Neurospora crassa OR74A: one gene and its partners. The protein of the gene in region 1 interacts with the protein of each later gene in a biochemical or structural test. Links are inferred from orthologs where the notes say so. Each region holds a gene or a part of one and is shown on either strand. Other genes may lie near its edges.

Region 1 (6,504 bases):
GTGGTATGGCGTCGTTATATGGATATATACAGGATCTGAAGCAGATCTTTTGGTCGGCCCGTGGGATTCCATTTCTTTCTCTTTTCTCTTTTTTTTTTTTTTTTTTTTTTTTTCTTCATATAGCACAGAAAGGTACGACGACGACGGGATGGGATGATTTTTCTAGATTTCAAATTTCAAAAGTTCTTGCAACCTTAGGGTCTTCTTTCTTTTCTTTCTTTTTTTTCCTCCTCCTCCTCTTCTTTTGCATTTTTTTTTCTTCTGTCGACCATCACCCTCCAGATATACCCACTACTTTTGCTGTACTATTTTCTTGCTTCTTGCTTCTTGCTAGACTAGTTAGTTAGTTAGTTAGTTAGTTACTTACTTACTTACTTACTTACTTACTTACTTACTCACTTACTTACTTACTTAAAGTCAAACAGCAACCGTACCTAGTAACCTCGGAACCTCCGAACCTGCTTGCTTGTTTACTTACCTCCGTCTAGGTATGTAGGTACGTACGCAACTGCTGCAGAAGTGAGTGAGCTTAGCTTAGCTTAGCTTAGCTTAGCTTAGCTTCGCTCGTGCAGTACAGTGCAGTGCAGGACAACATCGATACCTACCTACCTAGGTAGGTAGTTACCACCACCTTGGAGGTACCTATTATAATTCATCCCCGCCTGGCAAACAAACAAAAGGTACCTACTAAGCAGAAAGCATCAATCAAAAAACTTCATTGGCAAAAACCGTACTAATGTACCTAACCTCGGACTAGGTATGTAGGGTAATCACAGTAATTTGCCTACCTACCTACCTAGATTAGTAGCCTCCATTATCTCTTCTTTTTTAAAGAATAAACGATATATAGCCGATTGACATATTAGACTACCTAGGCTGTATCATCTATTCTAGGTAGCGGGTACTAGTCTATATACAGATAATAACGAACAACAAGGCCTCTCCCTCAAAAACACTACCAATTACGATTTCACAACACAACTTTGTAAACACCTCCGCCCTACGATGGTGGCAGTGCGAGTCGTGCTTCATAACTCACTTAGCCGTTCGATAACGTTGAGCGTGGTGTTTTCGGCGAGAAGATGATAGTAATAGTTATGGCGGGTTGGGGGGTCGGAGATAGTAGTGGAAGATGGGGGGGCCAAATGAAGCTACAGCGTGTTTTTGATTTGCTTAATTTTCTCCGTCGCTGAACGCCTGAATTGGTGGTTTAGTAACCACCAAGCTCGAACAAAGATGATTCAACGTCCGGCTATGCGTTGTTTGATTGGCGCTTACTACCACCAACCTCAGCAAAGTTCATTTCGACTTTGGTCGGTTGATTAAAGTGCGGGTGTTCAATTCAACTTCGTCTGACGGGAACATCAGAAAATCATGCCTTGTTGTGGTATAGGTCGAGATTTCTCCATTTTCAACAAATTAACAAACTATACAACTCGTACTCAACTCTTTCTCCGTTGGGTATCGCATCAAGTATTCAGCATCACTATCTCATGATATCTCATTGTGATCAGTTATGAGCATTCCGTTGATGTTATCTTCCGGATGCTTTTGCAATCACGCACCCAACCCTGCGGGCCGAACGTATCGCGTTGTGATTTCGTGCTTTAATCAAGCATTGACTCATGTTTTCTCTGTGTATTACAGAGTAAGAGAGTTCCCTTATATGTATGTCTCTTCTTTCTTCCGCGCGCGCTTCCTTTCCGCTGCTGGATATCTAAGAAAACCCCTGGTCCCGCTAGTGAGTTCGTAAAAAGCAAAATATATGAAAAACACAAAACCCAGGTTAAAAAGCAACCCCTTCTCTTTTAAGACGCCGTGCAATTCCCAATACCCCCAAAAGCTTCGTTCGTGAATACTGTGAGCTCAACCACATCTCTTCGACCATCTCATGGACAAGGGGCGGCTTTTCAGCTCGCATCGTCCATTTGACTCGTCGATTCGACACTTTTGTCCGGCAGATCTGCAATCAAATAAAATACTAGCACATCTTGTACAAGCACCTGCCCTCAGCCTGCCTCGTGGGGTCTTGGTTCTCGAACTTGTAATCGACGGTGATATCAAGATCACGCTTGTTCTTCTGGTTGGGGCGGTTGTGGAGCGAGCACTGAACCTTCTCGCCCTGCTGGACGGTGAGGACGTCCTTGAGGTAGAAGACGGTCTGCTTCCAGTGGGTGTACTGGGTGTGGGGACCGGTCGAGAAGCGGATGGGCTTGTGGCAGGCAGTGAAGTCAATGTCGAACCAGGCGACAAGGGCGTGGATGAAGTCATCGCGTCTGGCGACGAGCTCGAAGTTGGTCTTGAAAGCCAGGTCGGCAGTGGTGCAAGTGTAAAGGTCGAGAGTCAAGATGTTGACGGGGTCAGTGACGACGGTCTTAACGTCAACAGTGTCGACAAGAGGCTCGGAGAGAGCAGTCTCCTTAAGAGGGCTGTAATCGAATCCGTAGACGTTGTCCCAGACTGGTAAACCGGTGTCAGTAGGAAGTTCTTCACAAAATCGAAAGCAAAAAAACCAGGGGCAGGAAACATACAGCCAATCTTCTCATCCTTGTAGTCACCGTCCTCGATACCAGCAATGAAGATGGTAGCCTTGTCGGGGAAGATAAGACCGCCGGGAGCCAGGTAACGGTCACGGGCGTAGAGGACAGTGTCCAACATGGACTCGTAGAGGAGGAAATAACCCATCCACTCAGAGATGATGATGTCAACCTTGGGGAAGGGAAGCTCGATCTCCTCCATCTTGCCCTGGATCAGGGTGATCTTGTCGGAGAGACCGTTGACCTTGACAATCTCACGAGCCTTGAAGATGATGGTGGACATGTCAACACCAATAACGTGCTTGGCGCCGGCCTTAGCGGCAAACCTGTGAGAAGAGAAGACGGTTAGCAGGCTGTTCCACCGTTTTTGGATTGCAGTGCTCGGCGCATTCCAGGACCGCCAGAGCTGCAGGTTTGCGTGATGCAGGGAGTGGGGACGTACATGGAGAGGATACCAGTACCGCAACCGACATCGAGAACGATCTTGTCCTTAAAGAGATGCTTGTTCTGGACGATAGAGTGCATGTATGACTTGGTTCTGACCTCGTCCTTCAACATTTCCTCGTGGATGCCTTTGTCGCGCAACAGGTCCAGGTTAGCAACAGTCAGACTATGAACGGCCACGAGGCCAACTAGGAAGCGCGCAGTCCGTGGACCCCGCGATAAGCGGATGGAGGTGTCTCACCATGGTGGTTATAGCTAGAGAACGAAGTCATGTTAGCTTTGATCTGTCTCTACCACCATATAACAACAACGAGAAGAGACGAGACGGTCATGTTCGTACCTGTTGAAGTAGTGCTGCTCGGCGTGATCCATGCTCTTGAGCTTCTGCTCGGCAACCTCAATGTCCATCTGATCGTTGGCCGCCATCTTGACTGTTGTTGATGCTGCTGTTGGTGCTGTTTGTGTATGGGAAAACAGACAAGAATAAAAGATGAATTGGTGTAAAGAAACCAAAAGGAATCAAAGAAGAGGAAAATGTAAAGCTGGAAAATTTGCAGGGCAGCTCAGCGATGGAGATAAAAAGTGGGAAGGAGGATGGAGAGGCAGGTTCGAAGGGGAGCCTGATGCTTGTGAAGTTTTCTTCGTGTGCCGCAATGGCAATTGCCCAGACGGGTCCAGCATGGCCTTTCCTTGCCTCAACTTTTTGCCTGGCCCCGTCAGAGATTGGGTTGCCAAATCAGATCCATACCCCACTTCAACTTGGGTTGTGCTGGGCTCCAGAGATGGAGAGGGAGGCAGTTCCTGGGTGGGGTGGGGTCCTGGGGGGCTTTCCCGCCTGCCCGCAAGAGTACCCGCCCGAGTCGTCACCCACACGGGCCCGACACCTCACTTACACGCGTAGGTACAGGGCTGTCCGACATCCGCGCAGGCACTGACAGGCACGCCTGGCACAACCTACTATGTACCTAGTACACTAGTACAGTCTGCGCGCCGGGCCCCCCGAACATGGGGACTACAACTGAAACCGCTTTATCGCATTATCCGATCTCTTGCCCCCCGCGACGCCGTCCCATCTCCAGGCTTGTCCCCTTTTGGATCTGGCGTGCCTAGCTCGGTCTTGGCAGTCTGGGCCGCTGATGGGCCCTTTTGGACCCTTTTTGGAGCACTCCACCTCACTGGCCCCCTCCCCTGGTGCTTGCCACTTTGGCGCTAGGTCTAGCCCGTGCTCCCATTGATGTATCTGACATCAGGTGTAACCCCAACGTGGGTTTGGATATCTTGAAGGGTGTTGTATTGTAGAGATCTGGCATTTCCCTTTCAACGCCATTCAGATCCATGATAAATGAGCCATCACTTCTCAACCTTCTTTCGAACACTCAAGCGACTAAGAGATCTAACTGCCCCTTGCCCTCTCGAGTCAGCATCCCAGTAAGGACAAGCCATTTTCCTTCAGCAAACGCCCAGATATATATAGTGATACTTTTCGTCTTGGTATTAGTCTCCTCATCCATCGCTTTTCTGGCCTGCCACATCTAACTCCCGTTCAATGTACACATGGCCATTATCTATCCTCTAGAGTAACCCAACATAACCGAGATAGATCAGGATACTCCACATGTTGACAAGCCTCATCATGATATGCTCTGTTTTTCCCCATAACATCCCCTTGTTTTCTTCATGCTCCTGTAATTAAGCCAGGCCTGCCATCTGCATCAGGCGAGTGCCAACCTTCAAGTTGGCGTACTCATAAGCCTTCGATTCCGGTGGAAAGGTACCATTGGCGGCCCAGAGATCAATCAAAGGCTGCATTGGCTCAAGCTCGGCCGGCTTGAGCATATCGAGGGCGGTCGCTGTCAGCACAAAATGGCTGAAACAGCTGTTGAGTTGCTTCTCCAAGTTCAAATGGTAGAAGGGCTCCGTAAAGTGGGCCCAGTAAAGGTGAGCGTAGACGCGGAACATCTGGAGGAAGATGGTCTGGCAAATGTTGAAAAACTCCTTGGGGAATCCGCTGCGCTTGCCGATCCAGTCGTCAGGACCCGTCAAAAGTGCCGTTGTGGTAATCTGAGGGTTATGCGCAAACGAAACCCCCGACGCCTCGGTGGGGAACATCTTGGTATCGTCAATCTTGCCCGAAATCCACCGCTGCATCAGAGTAATGTACTCATATGCTGGGAGCTCAATGGGCTCAAAGCGGCTGTTTAGCCACGTGTACGAGTGGTTCCTGTGCCCATTTCTGTTAAAACAGATCCTTGAGGTGCTTCGACATGGGCATTGGGGGTTTCCGTTCTTACGTTCCAGCGGACATCCTGGGGCAGGTAATGGAGTTGCAAATCGACTTTCCATCCTCTTCCTTTTCGTATACAACTCTGACAAAGTTCCACAAGTTGCGGTAATGCTCAACCACTACATGATGATGTCAGTGGACACGATAACGTGTAACAGTCACAGACAAGGATCATGAATTACCTTGATGAGCAATCCACTCGCCCTGCTCCACCGTCTTGGGCCTAGCGCTGAGTGTCATAAAGTTGCCCTTGACGATGTGCTTCGCGGCCGTCGGGTTCAGCCACAGTGGCAGTGGCCTGGGAAGATGATAGGCGTTGAGGGCCTCTTCACCAGTGCCCATCATACCGATTGACTGAGATAGTGAGGGTGAGGCAGGAAGTGGCGGTAGCTTGGAGGACAGGTTGGCTGAGCTCTGGCTGGAGATGGAGTTGTTGCTGGGTGAGGGCATATGATGATGGTGAACATCGTCGGTGGCGGGTGATTGGGGGGGTTTTGTTTGACGTGGTTTTGTTTGCCGTGCCTCTCAGGCGGGCATTTCTGGTTGGGTCAGCATCTGTCGACAAACCCAAGACATGTTTGTATTCAGGACCGGATATTGGAGGATGATGAAGGACAAAGAAGGTTGAAACGTAACGGCAGTAATATTGCTCGTGATGGTATATGTACTGTGCGTGCTGCGCGGCCGTTGTGTCTGGGTGACTCTGAAAGGAACCTAGCTCAAGACCAAAACCGTCATACCCATCACTCTATAATAATGACATGTGATGGCTGGCAATGTGAGAAAGCAGAACCGAGACAGATGGATCCGGAGAAACCAGAGAAACATAAATGACCGATGACCATTTGATTGCAGCCTCTCACAAGTAAAGCCCACTAGGCCAGTTGTTGAGAGAACCTGAAGTGACAAGCATGTGAGATGAGAGAGAGGCGTGAGAAAGAACGGGTACCTACATTCCAGAAAAGAGGTTCGACATGATACCGACTTATACGGGAAGTGAACTTGGACGTTGTAGTAGGTAGACAGGACGTGATGGTGCCTGAATGCAACAAGGAGCGATGAGATGTCGGACTGGAGTTGCGAAGAAGCCGGAACAGAGTAGGTAGCGATGTACAACTCAGAACGGTCCAAGGCAATTGACCTCCAAACGTTGAGGATGTTCTCGAATTACTGTAGCAGCAAAAAAAGTACGCTAGCGTGGACTGCGTGGTGAGTAGTGATGAAGATGGGGTCGCTAGA
Region 2 (6,257 bases), on another chromosome or scaffold:
ATACGCTCCAAAGAGCGCTGTGTTGCTTCGTAGCCGTAGAGCTCAATGTGTGGGTTCGTTCGAGGAACGTCGATGCTGATCTGGTGCCAGATGGCTTCGTCTAGGCCGCGGTTGCCTCCGCCTCCCTTCCCGGTGGATGGTGGTGGAGCGCCACCTGCTCGTTCAAAGGCTTGTCGTACGCCGTCCAGGTATTCTTTTCGTTTGCGCTCTAGTGTGGCCACCCTCCTTTCACTGCTGGTGGGGAGGTAGCTTAGCAGGAGCTGCCACGTCATGGCGCGGACTTCTTCTGGTACGCCAGACCAAGCTAGGGCTCGAAGGTCGTTTAGAGGGATGGTTGATGCTTGAAGAATCTTTTTGAATTTGTTGATCCTGGTTATCCTCGAGTTGACAGCATCGATTTCCTTCTGGGAAGCATTAGGTGGTACGGAAGGATGGTTGATTAGGTGTAGGGCGTTTGCGGGATCGCGGAGTATGTCTCTGTACTGTGGTCGGAGGATCTTGCCTTCGGTCTTCTTGGGCATTGGGTAGGTAGATGCTGGTCGCTCGATGGCTATGTCGGCGCTGTCCGAGTAGCGACGTCCGGTTGCGTCTGTGAGTGTGTTTGTCGCAGTTCCTCGGCTGGTTCCTTGTTCAGTCTGCGCTGCGATCCGACGCGACCTCCTCTTCATGCTGGACAGACTGGGAAGCCCAAAGTCATCGTCACCATCGTCTTCGTAGGCGTATACATCGTCTGCGTCGTCGGCCGCCCAGTCTTCGTTGGTGCTCGTTATGAAATTCATGTAGTTTTGGAAAGGAGGTGATGTCACCCCTTTGATATGGGGCGAGGCTGTACTATTGGAAGTGGTTCGGCCGAGGGCAGAGGACGAGGGAGGAGGGGTTCGTGGTCGCGATCCGGCGTTCGACAGATTTCTAGTCCAAGAGCGCCATAGTCAGCAAAGACGCCGTCGTTTCCCAGAGAGACATCCAAACAGTAACGCCGGCACCAACGCACAATGAATCAAACTTGAGCATGTCGGCATGGGAATAGGCAGCGCCAACGACCTTGCCCGAGTCGCGAGTGGTCGTCTTCTTTAGCGGGGCATCCTTCTGGGGCGCTCTCCAAAAAGGGGAGCCAGAGCTGTCGCATTGTCCGAGTCATGTCAGTGTTTCCGTCTTTGAGTTTAGGAATAGGACTTGGGACATACTCGGACCTGTCTGAAGCCATGACGGGACATGGGATCAGCAACTGGTTATACAACAAACAACGAAAGAGGGGGGGGTTGTAGTCATCAGGCAGGACATACCAACTTGCACCATCTCCTGCTGGCGTAGCGACATCATGGCCTGTTAGCATCATTGGAGTGAGGAAATGAAGCACTAACACGTACCTGGGGAGACGCTTTCTTGCCCGAGCTCGAAGAAGAAGAAAACATTATGTGAGTGGGTAGTATACAAACAGGACTGGTGATTTCGCCTTGGTTTACCAGCGCAATGGCATCACACCATGGTCAACAATGTCGTTCGTTGAAAGGGACGGAGGGAATGTCCATGGAGCTAGACAGGCAGACAATGGAAGTGGCCGTTCCTGTTCCCTTCAATTCATTGATGGCGTGGTCGTGTTAAGCCCATCGGCTCGTTTCCTGGGTACACAGCGGTTGCCAGGCTCGGGGCCACTAACAAACACATGGCTTTTGGCAACCGGGCACGTCCAGGGCATCTTGCCCATCATTCAGGTCATCTCATCTCGGTGTCTTTGCCTTCCTGTTCCAGCAGTGATTGACTTCAGTTGGACACCGTCCGCCTGTCACAGCTCGCCAGCTGTTCGCCAGCCTCAGACGGGCAGCCGATGTCGCTCACAACTTGAACCACTACAGCGCATGGGCAGCCCACCTCAGAGGGTGTGATAAGGTGCGCTGGACTGGCACCCCCTTCCCCGCAGGTACACAGGCCTCGTTGTATAGGCTGTTTCTCACCGCCTACGCGCCTAGAGGTAATTGGCCCTTGCAGACCTACCATAGGTACCTACCTCTAGACACGCGACTGCCACCTAGGTGGGCAAGGGAAGTGCCGTAGAGGAGTCATGTAGAGGTAGTACCTAAGGTAGGTAACGTCTTTTTGTTAGTACCCGACCCCAAGTCTTGGTTGCCGGAAGCGCCCCAACTCGCGGTGCCGGTGCCTTGAATCGGGGTCCACACCCGACCGAACCTTAACACTCGGCGCCAAACTGAATGGGACTGCAGGGCAGCGGCGAGGGGACTGAGGCAGGCAGACTGATGGAGTTCCAGGTCCGGTTTCTTCACTTGAAAAGCAAACGACGTCCACTCTTCCACACTTTCCACCTTCACTTTTCTACCCAAGTCAAGTCATCCTCGACAGCAGCAATCACAACCACAACCGACGACTTCATTAGTTCACTTGTACACCCAATCCGTGCCCAAATTCGGGTCTTTTGATCTGAGGGAGGAAACTGTACAAGCACCTGACGGACTCGACTTCCACCCACCTCGGGCTCTACTTGAGCTGCTCCGAGGTCCATCCGCCGCATCTCTTCTTGCGACGAGACAACTCGACCACTACGATCCATTCGCGTCTCGCTGCTTCTCGACGACTAGACCATCTTAAGTTGTGTATTCTTTCTGACCTTGTTCGGCCTGGTCTACTTCCAGCAATCCTTCCCCGCCCTACGCCATCTCAGCGTTCCACACAAATACCAGTCTGAATCAACCTCAACTCTCATCTCTTTTCCATCTTCGATACCCGGTATTCAAACACACAACAACCGCCAAAATGGCCGAAGCAGAGAATTACGAGGATGACCTCTTCGACGACCTGTATGTTATTTTGAGTACTCGCGTAACCACCCAATCTGAACATGATCTGACACTCTTGCGAACTAGGTACAACGACGACGACGCTCCCGCTGCCTCAAAGCCAGCCGCTGCACCAGCTTCCGCCCCCACTACAGCTCAGACTTCAGCTACTGAGCAGCCTTCTCAACAACAGCAGCAACAGCAGCAACAGCAAGAGCAGCAGCAACAAGCTGCCGCCGTCCAGCAGTCGGCTGCTGACAACTACGGAGGATCCAACGACTACAGTCAGCAAGGCTACTACAATGGAGGCAACGGACAATACGGCAACGATGAGGAAGAAGACGAAGACGAAGACGATATCGACTTCAATCTCGGAAGCGGCCCGTCCACCACGGTCGCTCGCCATGAGGACGACAACAACAACCAAAACAACAACCAAAACAACAACAACAACAACAACAACAGCCAGTCTCAATCGCAATATCATGCTCCCCCACCGACCCAGGCCCAACACAAGGGCCCCAATGCCAAAGAAGATGGGTAAGTCACATCCCCTTGATGCTATTCGTGACACACGTATATGCTCGTAACATCCCCCAACCCCCGTACAACCCCTCTCTGTATCCTCGATTTCGCCCCGACGCAGCTGCAGCCCCGCCCAGGCTCTCCCACATGAAGAGATGAACACCTACTCGAGACCCGCTCAGGACGTGGCGTCCCAGAACTGCTCGGTTGGCTGGTAGGGAATGGAAGGATTGGGCGGCGCAAGGACCTGATGAGCACAGTAGAGTCTTGGTATCAGACACTCTGAGTTACTCTGGCGCGTATGGGTGAACCATACCGTATGGATGCACCAGGGGCTACAAGACTGCAAGTGATCAAAGGCAGGAAGGGATCGCTCTCCGCTATGGACGTGAACATAAAAATCGGGAGAAAAGAGGCTGGAAGCCGTGGACTTGTCCAGGGTCACGCCATGGATCAAGCTTCGACGTCAGATTGATCCCGGAGTACGCTCCTGTCTGTACTACAAGAATGGTGGATGGCCTTGCGGAGGTAATCTTAATAGGGCGTGAGGGAACCGGCTTCCTTTTGCCAGGACGGTCGATGAGCCTGCAGCCAGAGCAAGATTAGCAGCGAGAAGGGCAGCACCCAGAACAGATACAGACAGTACCTAGCTTGACGGTAGCAAAGAGCTCGAGACAGCAAAAAAATTCGAAGAAAGATTCCGGCACACCCAGAGACCACTTGGAAAGTGGAACATTGCTGCGCTGCTGCATCTTCTGTTCACTCTGGGAACTGCCGTAGCATCCCCCCACCCTGGCCCATTTCCGTCAAGTCAAGTCAGCATTCGGCACATTAGGACAGCAGTCGTCTCGTCACCCTTGAGAACATCGCGGAGGCGGCTTCCAACTTCTCATTCGCCAAATGACAACCATCATACGGTCCTCGGTCGGTGGGCTCCGCCAACCTGCGAAGCCAACGGGAGAATCACATCCATTGCCACACCCACAGTCAAAACACCAGGCCCAGTATAAACAAGATGAAGGGTAGTTCTTCGGATATTGATGGTGGAGCCCATGCTATGTCAAGGATCATGACGGTAGACGGTCCATGTGGTCGAACTAGAGGTCTGGGATAGACATTACCTGAGGCTGCTCAAGTCCTGGCGCAACGGCTGGGCAAATGGGCTTGCTTCCCCAGTTCACGCTATATGCACGCGCCTCTCCAAACAACGGCTACAAACATGCTTCCGCATCACACTGATTGGTAGCTCTTGGGTTCGCGTGTAGCCATATGCGGATTCGCTCAGGATTTGGGTGTCTAAAGGGCTAGGCGGCTGGGGCTGTTTGCTTGATCACTCGCAATGTCTTTCTCACATCCGCATTTCATCTCATCGAGCCCACACATTCTTCACTGCCCTCATGTTACGCTTACTTGTTCATGTCCAGGTATCATAGATTGCTCAAAAGATGATGTTGACTAACGTCTTGCGCGTGCGCTTGTGTCTTATAGGAAGATGTTCATTGGTGGCCTGAACTGGGAGACTACAGACCGTAAGCCTTGCCATTTTCCCTGTCCTCTCCTCATGGTAATTGTTGCCCTCAAGGGGCACCATATGTACCATATGGTATTCGTGACAGTTGTACTGATACCGGTCTTGTGACTTTTTAGAATCCCTGAGAGATTACTTCTCGCAGTTCGGCGAGGTTGTAGAATGCACCGTTATGAGAGATGGCGCCACCGGTCGCTCGCGTGGCTTCGGATTTCTTACCTTCAAGGACCCAAAAACAGTGAACATTGTTATGGTCAAGGAACACTACCTTGACGGCAAGATCGTACGTTTGCCCGCCATAGCTCGTCTAACCCGTCAAATAAGTGGCCACTAACTCATTCTCCTTATAGATCGACCCGAAGCGCGCCATTCCCCGCGATGAGCAAGAGAAGACTTCCAAGATCTTTGTTGGTGGCGTTTCTCAGGAGACCACGGACCACGAGTTCCGCGAGTACTTTGCCCAATTCGGCCGTGTCGTCGATGCCACCCTCATGATGGATAAGGACACTGGCCGTCCCCGTGGTTTCGGCTTCGTCACCTTTGAGTCCGAAGCTGGCGTCGAGGCGTGTCTCTCTGCCAACCTTGAGATCCATGGTAAGCCTATCGAAGTCAAGAAAGCCCAACCCCGCGGCAACCTGCGCGAGGAGGCTGAGGAAGCTGCGAGACGCGGCGGCGGCAAGTTCGGCCAGCGCCGCAGCGGTCAGCAAGGTGGTGGCATGGATGATGGCTCCGGTCAAGGCGGTATGAATGTCATGGGCGGCATGGGCGGCGCCGGCACTGCCGGTATGACCCCCCAACTCATGGCCCAGTATCTCCAGCGGATGCAGCAGGCCTTCCAGATGATGCAGCAACAGATGGCCATGAACAGGGGCATGCAGAACCCCATGGTCCAAATGATGCAGATGCAGCAGATGCAACAAATGCAACAACAGATGATGGCCGCTCAGCAAGCCCATGCCGCGGCTCAGGCGGGTGCAGGACAGCAAGGCAGCGGTGGCCGCGCTGGTAGTGTCGGCGCGGGTCAGGGGCCTAACGCGCAGAACCCCCAGGCGATGGCTGCCGCCATGGGCATGAACCCGGCGATGATGCAGCAAATGATGGGCGGCGCTGGCGGTCCCGGAGCCGGTGGTGCTGATGGAGGTGCCGGTGGTCCTAAGGGGGGATTCGGCGGCTTCGACGGACAGCAGGGTTTCGATGGCCAGCAGCGCGGCCCCGGCGGCGGTAATCGCGGTCCTCGCAACGATCCCGCTGGTGGCAACTACGGCGGTGGAATGCCCGGTGCTGGAGCGGGCTACAACATGGGCGCCACCAGCTGGGAGGGCATGTACGATGACGTCCCCCAACCGATGATGGGCGGTCCCGGTTTCGGTCCTGGCATGGGCGGCATGGGTATGGGTATGGGCGGCGGCATGGGC
Region 3 (6,237 bases), about 4.0 Mb from region 1:
CCATGTCCATGTCCGCTTTCGTGCCCGTAGGTAGCCATACCATGAAGTCGTTCTTGGACGGTTGGATGTTAGTACACATACGAGCCCACCACATCAACTCGGCTGCTGCTGCTGCTGCTGCTGCTGCTGCTGCTCTAGCCGTCCCTCCTTCTCTCCCTTCACGTGCTCCCCCTCTTCTTTTTCTTCCTTCCCACCCATCTCCTCCCATGTTTCGTCCTCGTCCTCCCTCGGGCCTCTGCCTCTCGAACCACCACCACCCCTCATGCTTACATAGCCTTGAGGTAGTTACTCTCCTTAATCTTGGCCTTGCGCTCCTTGCGCATCGCCTTGCGCAGCTCCTCCCGCTTCTCGTCCGCCAGCACGGCATCCTGCACGCCGCCGTTCACAGCTCCGGGGAGGTTGACCGACTGCTTCTGTAGCGGGATCTTGGGTGCCAGGGCCTCGAGGTCGCCGGAAGCCAGGATCTTGGCCTCTTGGGCGCGCGCGCGCTTCATGGCTAGGCGACGCTGTTTCTTGGATTTGGCTTTTGGAAGAAAGGAGAGTGTGTTAGTCTGGATTGCTTTTTTTTGGGAAGGGGGGATGGAAAAGGAAGGTGGGGAGGTAGGTAGGTAGGTAGGTAGGTTGGCAACATACAGAACTCATCACCAGCGTCCGCATCAGCAGCATCGTCCGTCTTCTTCTGCACCTCCAAGCACCTCCAGAGCCACTCTGGGTACTCCTCGTCTGGCAGTGCCACGGGATCCGCCTTGTTCTTGAAGTAGTTGAGACCGTTAAGCTTGGTGCCCGCCGGGCAAGACGAGATGGCCGCCTTGGCTTGTTCTGTCGTCGCGGCGCCTGGTACTGGTGCGAGGCCGGCCTCGGCTGTGGAAGTTGCTGGTGCGGCGGCGGCGGGGGTCGCTGCGGGAGGAGTGCACACGCTGAAAGTGGTACTGAAGGCGGCGCGCGAACTAGCGGCAACCATGGGCCTGGTGGCCGCGGCGGCGGCAGGTCTGGCGAAGCCGGAAGCCCGGCGCAAACACGTTCGGCAGATCATGGCGATTATCCCGGGGGATGGTCGGAGGTGTATGTGTGTAATCGTCGGCAGTCGGCCAGTGGGAATTACACCAAGGATCGGATCGATTGGATAGACAACTCGCTTAAATCAGCTTCACAGGTGCGAATGTAAAAAGACACGCCGGCCGGAAGTGGCTTTCGGCCTGGGGAGACGGACACGGGATGCGCGCGACGAATTGGAGGGGTGGGACGGGAGCTAAAAATTTCTACGGCGGGTGAAAAGCACCACTGGAGCAGTTTTGATATTGGACAGGAACCGTTGCAGCTGTTACTAGGGCAGTGACAACTAAAGCACTTTATGTATTCTATAGTCCAAATCTGCGAACTGTACAGACAACATACGTGCAGAAGAATAAATGAAAAAAATAAAAAAAATGGGAGGCCGAATTGAGTCCTGTTATTCCTCTAGTCCCCCGTGTGTCTGTTGTTGCCGAGTTCTGTTAATATTTACATGCCTGCTCGTAAGTCTCATTAAAGGGCCCGAGCACTCCTCTGGGGGTTGCTGAAGCCGAACGTCTGAAAGGGTGGTCCGCGATGTTATGGAGCCCCTTCCCGGTTCGACCATGACTGACTCGCTCTCCGGTTCTCGAGCGCACTGCCCTGCCAAAACTCTCGCTGCCCAGATCATTTCAGCCCCAAATCAGCTCGCTCCAGCTTGTACCCTCCGGTCTGCTCCCAGAATGATGGAGGAGAACTCATTGCTTTGGCTGGTTCGCGAAATGGTTCTGCTGCTCGAAAAGATAACCCTGGACACGGTTTTCGGAGAGTAGTTGGAGGTAGCGTTCTGTGTCAGAAACAAGTCAGCAAGAGAAGGGGAAAAAGCACCATCGCATGGCTGATTGCATGCAATTGCTGAATGGTTCTGCCGCCAAAGAACCACGGGAGATGGGAAGCACTCCTGTACCCACCTCTCAGATGTCCGCACTTCTCCAGATGGTTCACGCCCTCCCTATAATAGCACTTGGACAACTCCTCCCGCACCAGGCGACCCATCATAACTCGGACCCATTGCTCGCGGATAATGGCATCCTGGGCCTGCTTCAGGCGCTTCGTATCATTGTAGTCGACGCCGTCAAAGGTGGGCGGGACGGTGGGCTTCTTGGCCAGGAAGGCCGCCGATTCGGGAGTAGGCATTGCTGCTAGATGTGGGCGACTCGCGAGAGAAGACCGAAAGCACAAGTTGTCGTCAAACAAAGCTGTAGAGAGGGAGAGAGACGCAGCTTATCGTCCCGCACTTTCGTCTCGTCGATGATGCCGTTGCAACCAACACGGCGCATCTCTAAGCTCCAAGTGGTGCCCCGGTCGTATGGTGGCTCGAGCTTTACAGCACACCTGGGAAACCAGGCAGGCAGGGACGCGCTAGCCCAAATGCTGTTCGTCTTTCGGACCATGCAGTAAAGTTGCAATTGACGGGGGGTCGTGGGCCGTGGCAGGCATGGGAAGGAACTTTCAGGTGGAACGAACTTCCCCACCGCGGCTCGTGCGCGGGCCACCGCCTTCGCGTGTGTACATAACCTCCACCCGGATCCTCCACTGCCCCAGGTCCCCTGCCCCACTAGAAAGTCCCATATCAAAGTGTGATAACGATTTTTTTTTCTGCCGTAGGTTGATCAGCCAGAGATTTTACGGTACCCGCCACCCTCTGCTCCCCATTTAAACAGCAGTCTTCCCGACGAAATTTCTTTTCTTCAGACGCATCCTTTATCCCATTCATCATCTTCATCCTTCTTTTTTCTTCAATACCCTTTAGCGGATTCCATCACTTCATCACATCACTTTACAACAACCGCTATCATGGGCAAGAAGGATTCCGTCAAGGCCACCAAGGCCACCAAGGTCGCCAAGGCCGAGCCCGTCAAGGCTGCTAAGCCCGTCAAGGCCACCAAGGCTGAGAAGCCCTCCAAGAAGTCCAAGAAGGAGGAGTCCTCTTCCGAGGAGGAGGAGTCCGAGTCTGAGTCTTCTGAGGAGGAGTCCAGCGAGGATGAGTCCAGCGATGAGTCTTCCGATGAGGAGATGACCGACGCTCCTGCCGCCAAGGAGACCAAGAAGGCCGAGTCTTCCGACTCTGACTCCGATTCTGACTCTGACGACTCCGAGTCTGAGGAGACTTCCGAGGAGGAGAAGCCCGCCGTCAAGGAGGAGAAGAAGGAGAGCGTGAGTACAACATAACTTCCTCTTCATAGTATACATCTGCTAACCCACGTCTGCTTATAGTCCGATGATGAGGAGAGCGACTCCGACAACTCCGATTCCGACTCTGACTCTGACTCTTCCGAGTCCGAGGAGAAGTCTGAGTCCGAGGAGCCTTCCAAGAAGCGCAAGGCTGAGGAGTCCTCCGAGGAGGAGGAGGCTCCCAAGAAGGCCAAGACTGAGGAGGTTGCCGACGACAAGAGCACCCTCTGGGTTGGTAACCTCGGCTGGGGTATCGATGATGCTATCCTCTTGGCTGAGTTCGAGGACTGCGAGGGTGCTAAGAGCGCTCGCGTCGTCACTGACCGTGAGTCTGGCCGCTCGCGCGGTTTCGGCTACGTCGACTTTGCCACCAACGAGCAGGCGCAGAAGGCTTATGATGCCAAGAGCGGTGCTCTTCTTGAGGGCCGTGAGATGCGTCTCGACTTCGCTGCCAAGGATGCCGGCAACAAGCCCCAAGACAAGGCCGCCAACCGCGCTGCCAAGCACGGTGACACCATCTCTCCCGAGTCCGACACCCTCTTCGTCGGTAACATGCCCTTCTCCGCCGACGAGTCTGTCGTCTCCGACTTCTTCAACTCCGTCGCTTCCGTTGCCAGCCTCCGTATCCCTACTGACCAGTGAGTATCCCACTATACCTTTGTGTGCATCTTTGCCGAGCAGAGTTTTAACAGTCTTCTAGGGAGTCCGGCCGCCCCAAGGGCTTCGCCTATGTTACCTTCAACTCCGTTGAGGATGCCAAGAACGCTTTCGAGCAACTGAACGGCTCCGACCTCAATGGCCGTCCCGTCCGTCTCGACTACGCCAAGCCCCGTGACAACAACGGTGGCGGTGGTGGCTTCGGCGGCGGCCGCGGTGGTGGCCGTGGCGGTGGCCGTGGTGGTTTCGGTGGCCGTGGTGGTGGCCGTGGTGGCCGTGGTGACTTCGGTGGCCGTGGCGGTGGCCGCGGTGGCGGACGGGGTGGTTTCGGTGGCAGCCGTGGTGGCTTCCAGGGCAAGAAGACCACCTTCTAAAGTGGTCAAGTGGGATTCCCGCACACATTGGGGAATGTGATACCATAACCTGAGGGCATTGAAACACAGATTCGCACTGGAGGGCTTAGTGGGTTGTCGGCTTTTGAAATCTTACAGTGTCTCCTTCGTGGGAGATCGTGGGCTTTTTGAGAGATAACTGCTTCCCTGCTGCGTGGCAGGGAAAGCAAGCGATACCTGAGGGCTTGAAGATGGTGGTGAGCTGGTAGCTCTTTGACAGCTCGTTCGTACATGGCACGTCTGTTCTTTCTCAACAGGAAAGTTAGGACCTCTGCCGGTGGGCTTGTTGGCTGGTTCCATGACCCTTGCGCGGTCGTCTGCACTTTGGATTCGATGCATACCAGAAGAATGATGGGTTCCAAGTACTCTGTGGGCTCGTGGGCTCTTGTGGGCTTTAGCTGACAAAACGGAAGAACGGAAAAGCGAGGACCTGTACTTGCACATGCCACAAACATGTGTTCACACAGCCTTATCCAGTCTGTGCTTCGAGGGTGGTTCATCGTTTCCTGTTCTTTTCCGCATACTATTGTCATTGCTTCTTCCTGTGGGGTTACTAAAGAGGGCATCTAAAAGTTGGTTTGGGATTTTCCGGTACAATCACGGGGTCACCTGGGGGCACTTAAAATGGGTTTCGGGTCTTTTCTTTTTCTTTTTTTTTCATATCAGCATTTGCCCTTCACGATACATCATCGATGGCGTAACGGTACAGAACACGGGTGATCCTTCTTAACGAACATTACCCGGTAAGTAATCTGATACTCTTCCCCTGTTTCATATACCCAAGTCCCAACGGACTAGAAGTAGCAAGAAAGAAGTATTGTTCAGTAACTGTGTTGTTCCAATGATGTGACTTGCCGTTATGTATGTGATGTGGTATTTTGAGGCGTAGACTTGTGTGTATGTATGTCGATAGGATCTTCAAAAAACTGCTCGTTCACAAAAGTCTTGATCATTCGTCACGTGTTTCAACATGGTCACAGTTGACCGCGATAGCTCCCAAAGTGTCACGAAGCAAATCCCCAAAAAGTTGAATTCGATGAACTCGGTTCGTCTACAAGTCATCTCAACAGTCGATACACAAACAAGCCCAAACTAAAGCCAAAGTCACGCAACACCAACAAAAAAAGAACCTAGACCTGCGACCAAATCGGGTAACCAAAATAACAAGATCAAATCCGAGTCCCGAATGAAAAAGACAACCAAGATGGGAAGAAAATATGAAGAAAATATGAAAAAAATAGCAGATTAAGAAGGTTAATGATGCGTGTATGCGTATGGCTGTCCCCATGATGCCAGATATTGAAGGTAAATGTTCTGCATACAATCGTTCTCTCCTCTCTTTGCAGCATTTGTTGGGGAATATTTCCTTCCAACGTCGTCGTCCATCGACTTGGATTCTTTCCGTGAAAGACCTATTTGGCCCAGCACCATCGGTATGATAAATGACGAGAGTTGATTCCCGCTGCAGCCGTAGCCGTAGTTGGTAGCAGCCAGTTGCCGTTATCGTTAGTGCTTTAGTGGATATTCTTCATAAAGCTCGTGTTGTACAAGAGCATGTTGGCTGGCTGACCAGGAGTTCCGTTCTCCCTCCTTTTTTGTTCTTTCATCTTTGAAGCCGATCGATAAACAGACATGTCGCTCGTCAAAGTCGTAACGCGTTGCATCGTTCAAGCAACGACACTCCTTCCAACCGAGCCCCACCTAAACCTCTTCAGCGTTCCGCTCGTCGTAGACCGCACAAACTCCTGGCCGCAGCTCGAAGAAGCGTTCGAGGCCGCTGATCCTGCAGAGGCCAGGCTTAAAGCGCTACTGCTCTCTTGTCGGCCGACTTCCCGTCCGATGACGTAGCCGGCGCCGAACCCGACGACTGACACGAGAACTACCACGCCGGCGCTTACCACCCATGTCAACACGGTCGGGCTTAGGAAGAAGGGGGAGGCGACATCGTTATCTGACACAACCC

The links.
Region 2: of the proteins of prm-1 (region 1) and NCU17030, one has a biochemical effect on the other in vitro, tested with the Saccharomyces cerevisiae proteins (4 studies listed by BioGRID). The link is inferred for Neurospora crassa OR74A from reciprocal best matches to the Saccharomyces cerevisiae genes HMT1 and HRP1.
Region 3: of the proteins of prm-1 (region 1) and NCU03092, one has a biochemical effect on the other in vitro, tested with the Saccharomyces cerevisiae proteins (2 studies listed by BioGRID). The link is inferred for Neurospora crassa OR74A from reciprocal best matches to the Saccharomyces cerevisiae genes HMT1 and NSR1.

The regions. Positions count from the first base shown.
Region 1 is NC_026501.1:553,131-559,634, reverse strand, and holds prm-1 (protein arginine N-methyltransferase 1), read right to left. Parts: upstream 3,672-6,504; 5' UTR 3,408-3,671; coding exon 3,322-3,407; intron 3,237-3,321; coding exon 3,223-3,236; intron 3,110-3,222; coding exon 2,980-3,109; intron 2,864-2,979; coding exon 2,532-2,863; intron 2,461-2,531; coding exon 1,982-2,460; 3' UTR 1,385-1,981; downstream 1-1,384. Other genes in the region: mob-2b (protein kinase activator), read right to left, coding at 4,671-5,202, 5,273-5,384, 5,448-5,715. UniProt on the Saccharomyces cerevisiae protein: S-adenosyl-L-methionine-dependent protein-arginine N-methyltransferase that catalyzes both the mono- and asymmetric (type I) dimethylation of the guanidino nitrogens of arginine residues in a variety of RNA-binding proteins such as heterogeneous nuclear ribonucleoproteins (hnRNPs) and small nuclear ribonucleoproteins (snRNPs).
Region 2 is NC_026505.1:5,319,921-5,326,177, reverse strand, and holds the start of NCU17030 (heterogeneous nuclear ribonucleoprotein HRP1), read left to right. Parts: upstream 1-2,151; 5' UTR 2,152-2,766; coding exon 2,767-2,810; intron 2,811-2,876; coding exon 2,877-3,329; intron 3,330-4,802; coding exon 4,803-4,843; intron 4,844-4,961; coding exon 4,962-5,125; intron 5,126-5,192; coding exon 5,193-6,257. Other genes in the region: NCU04241 (TBC1 domain family member 22A), read right to left, coding at 1-909, 992-1,117, 1,185-1,194, 1,284-1,302, 1,368-1,412. UniProt on the Saccharomyces cerevisiae protein: RNA-binding protein, which is involved in the polyadenylation-dependent pre-mRNA 3'-end formation and cooperates with the cleavage factor CFIA complex and the cleavage and polyadenylation factor (CPF) complex.
Region 3 is NC_026501.1:4,517,336-4,523,572, reverse strand, and holds NCU03092 (nuclear localization sequence binding protein), read left to right. Parts: upstream 1-2,611; 5' UTR 2,612-2,847; coding exon 2,848-3,207; intron 3,208-3,267; coding exon 3,268-3,863; intron 3,864-3,925; coding exon 3,926-4,256; 3' UTR 4,257-5,102; downstream 5,103-6,237. Other genes in the region: NCU03094 (hypothetical protein), read right to left, coding at 267-523, 634-1,033; nuo12.3 (NADH:ubiquinone oxidoreductase 12.3kD subunit), read right to left, coding at 1,749-1,837, 1,962-2,187; NCU03091 (hypothetical protein), read right to left, coding at 5,942-6,237. UniProt on the Saccharomyces cerevisiae protein: Involved in pre-rRNA processing. Specifically binds nuclear localization sequences. Candidate for a receptor at the nucleus that may be involved in both RNA and protein transport. Binds telomeric sequences of the type (TG[1-3])n in vitro.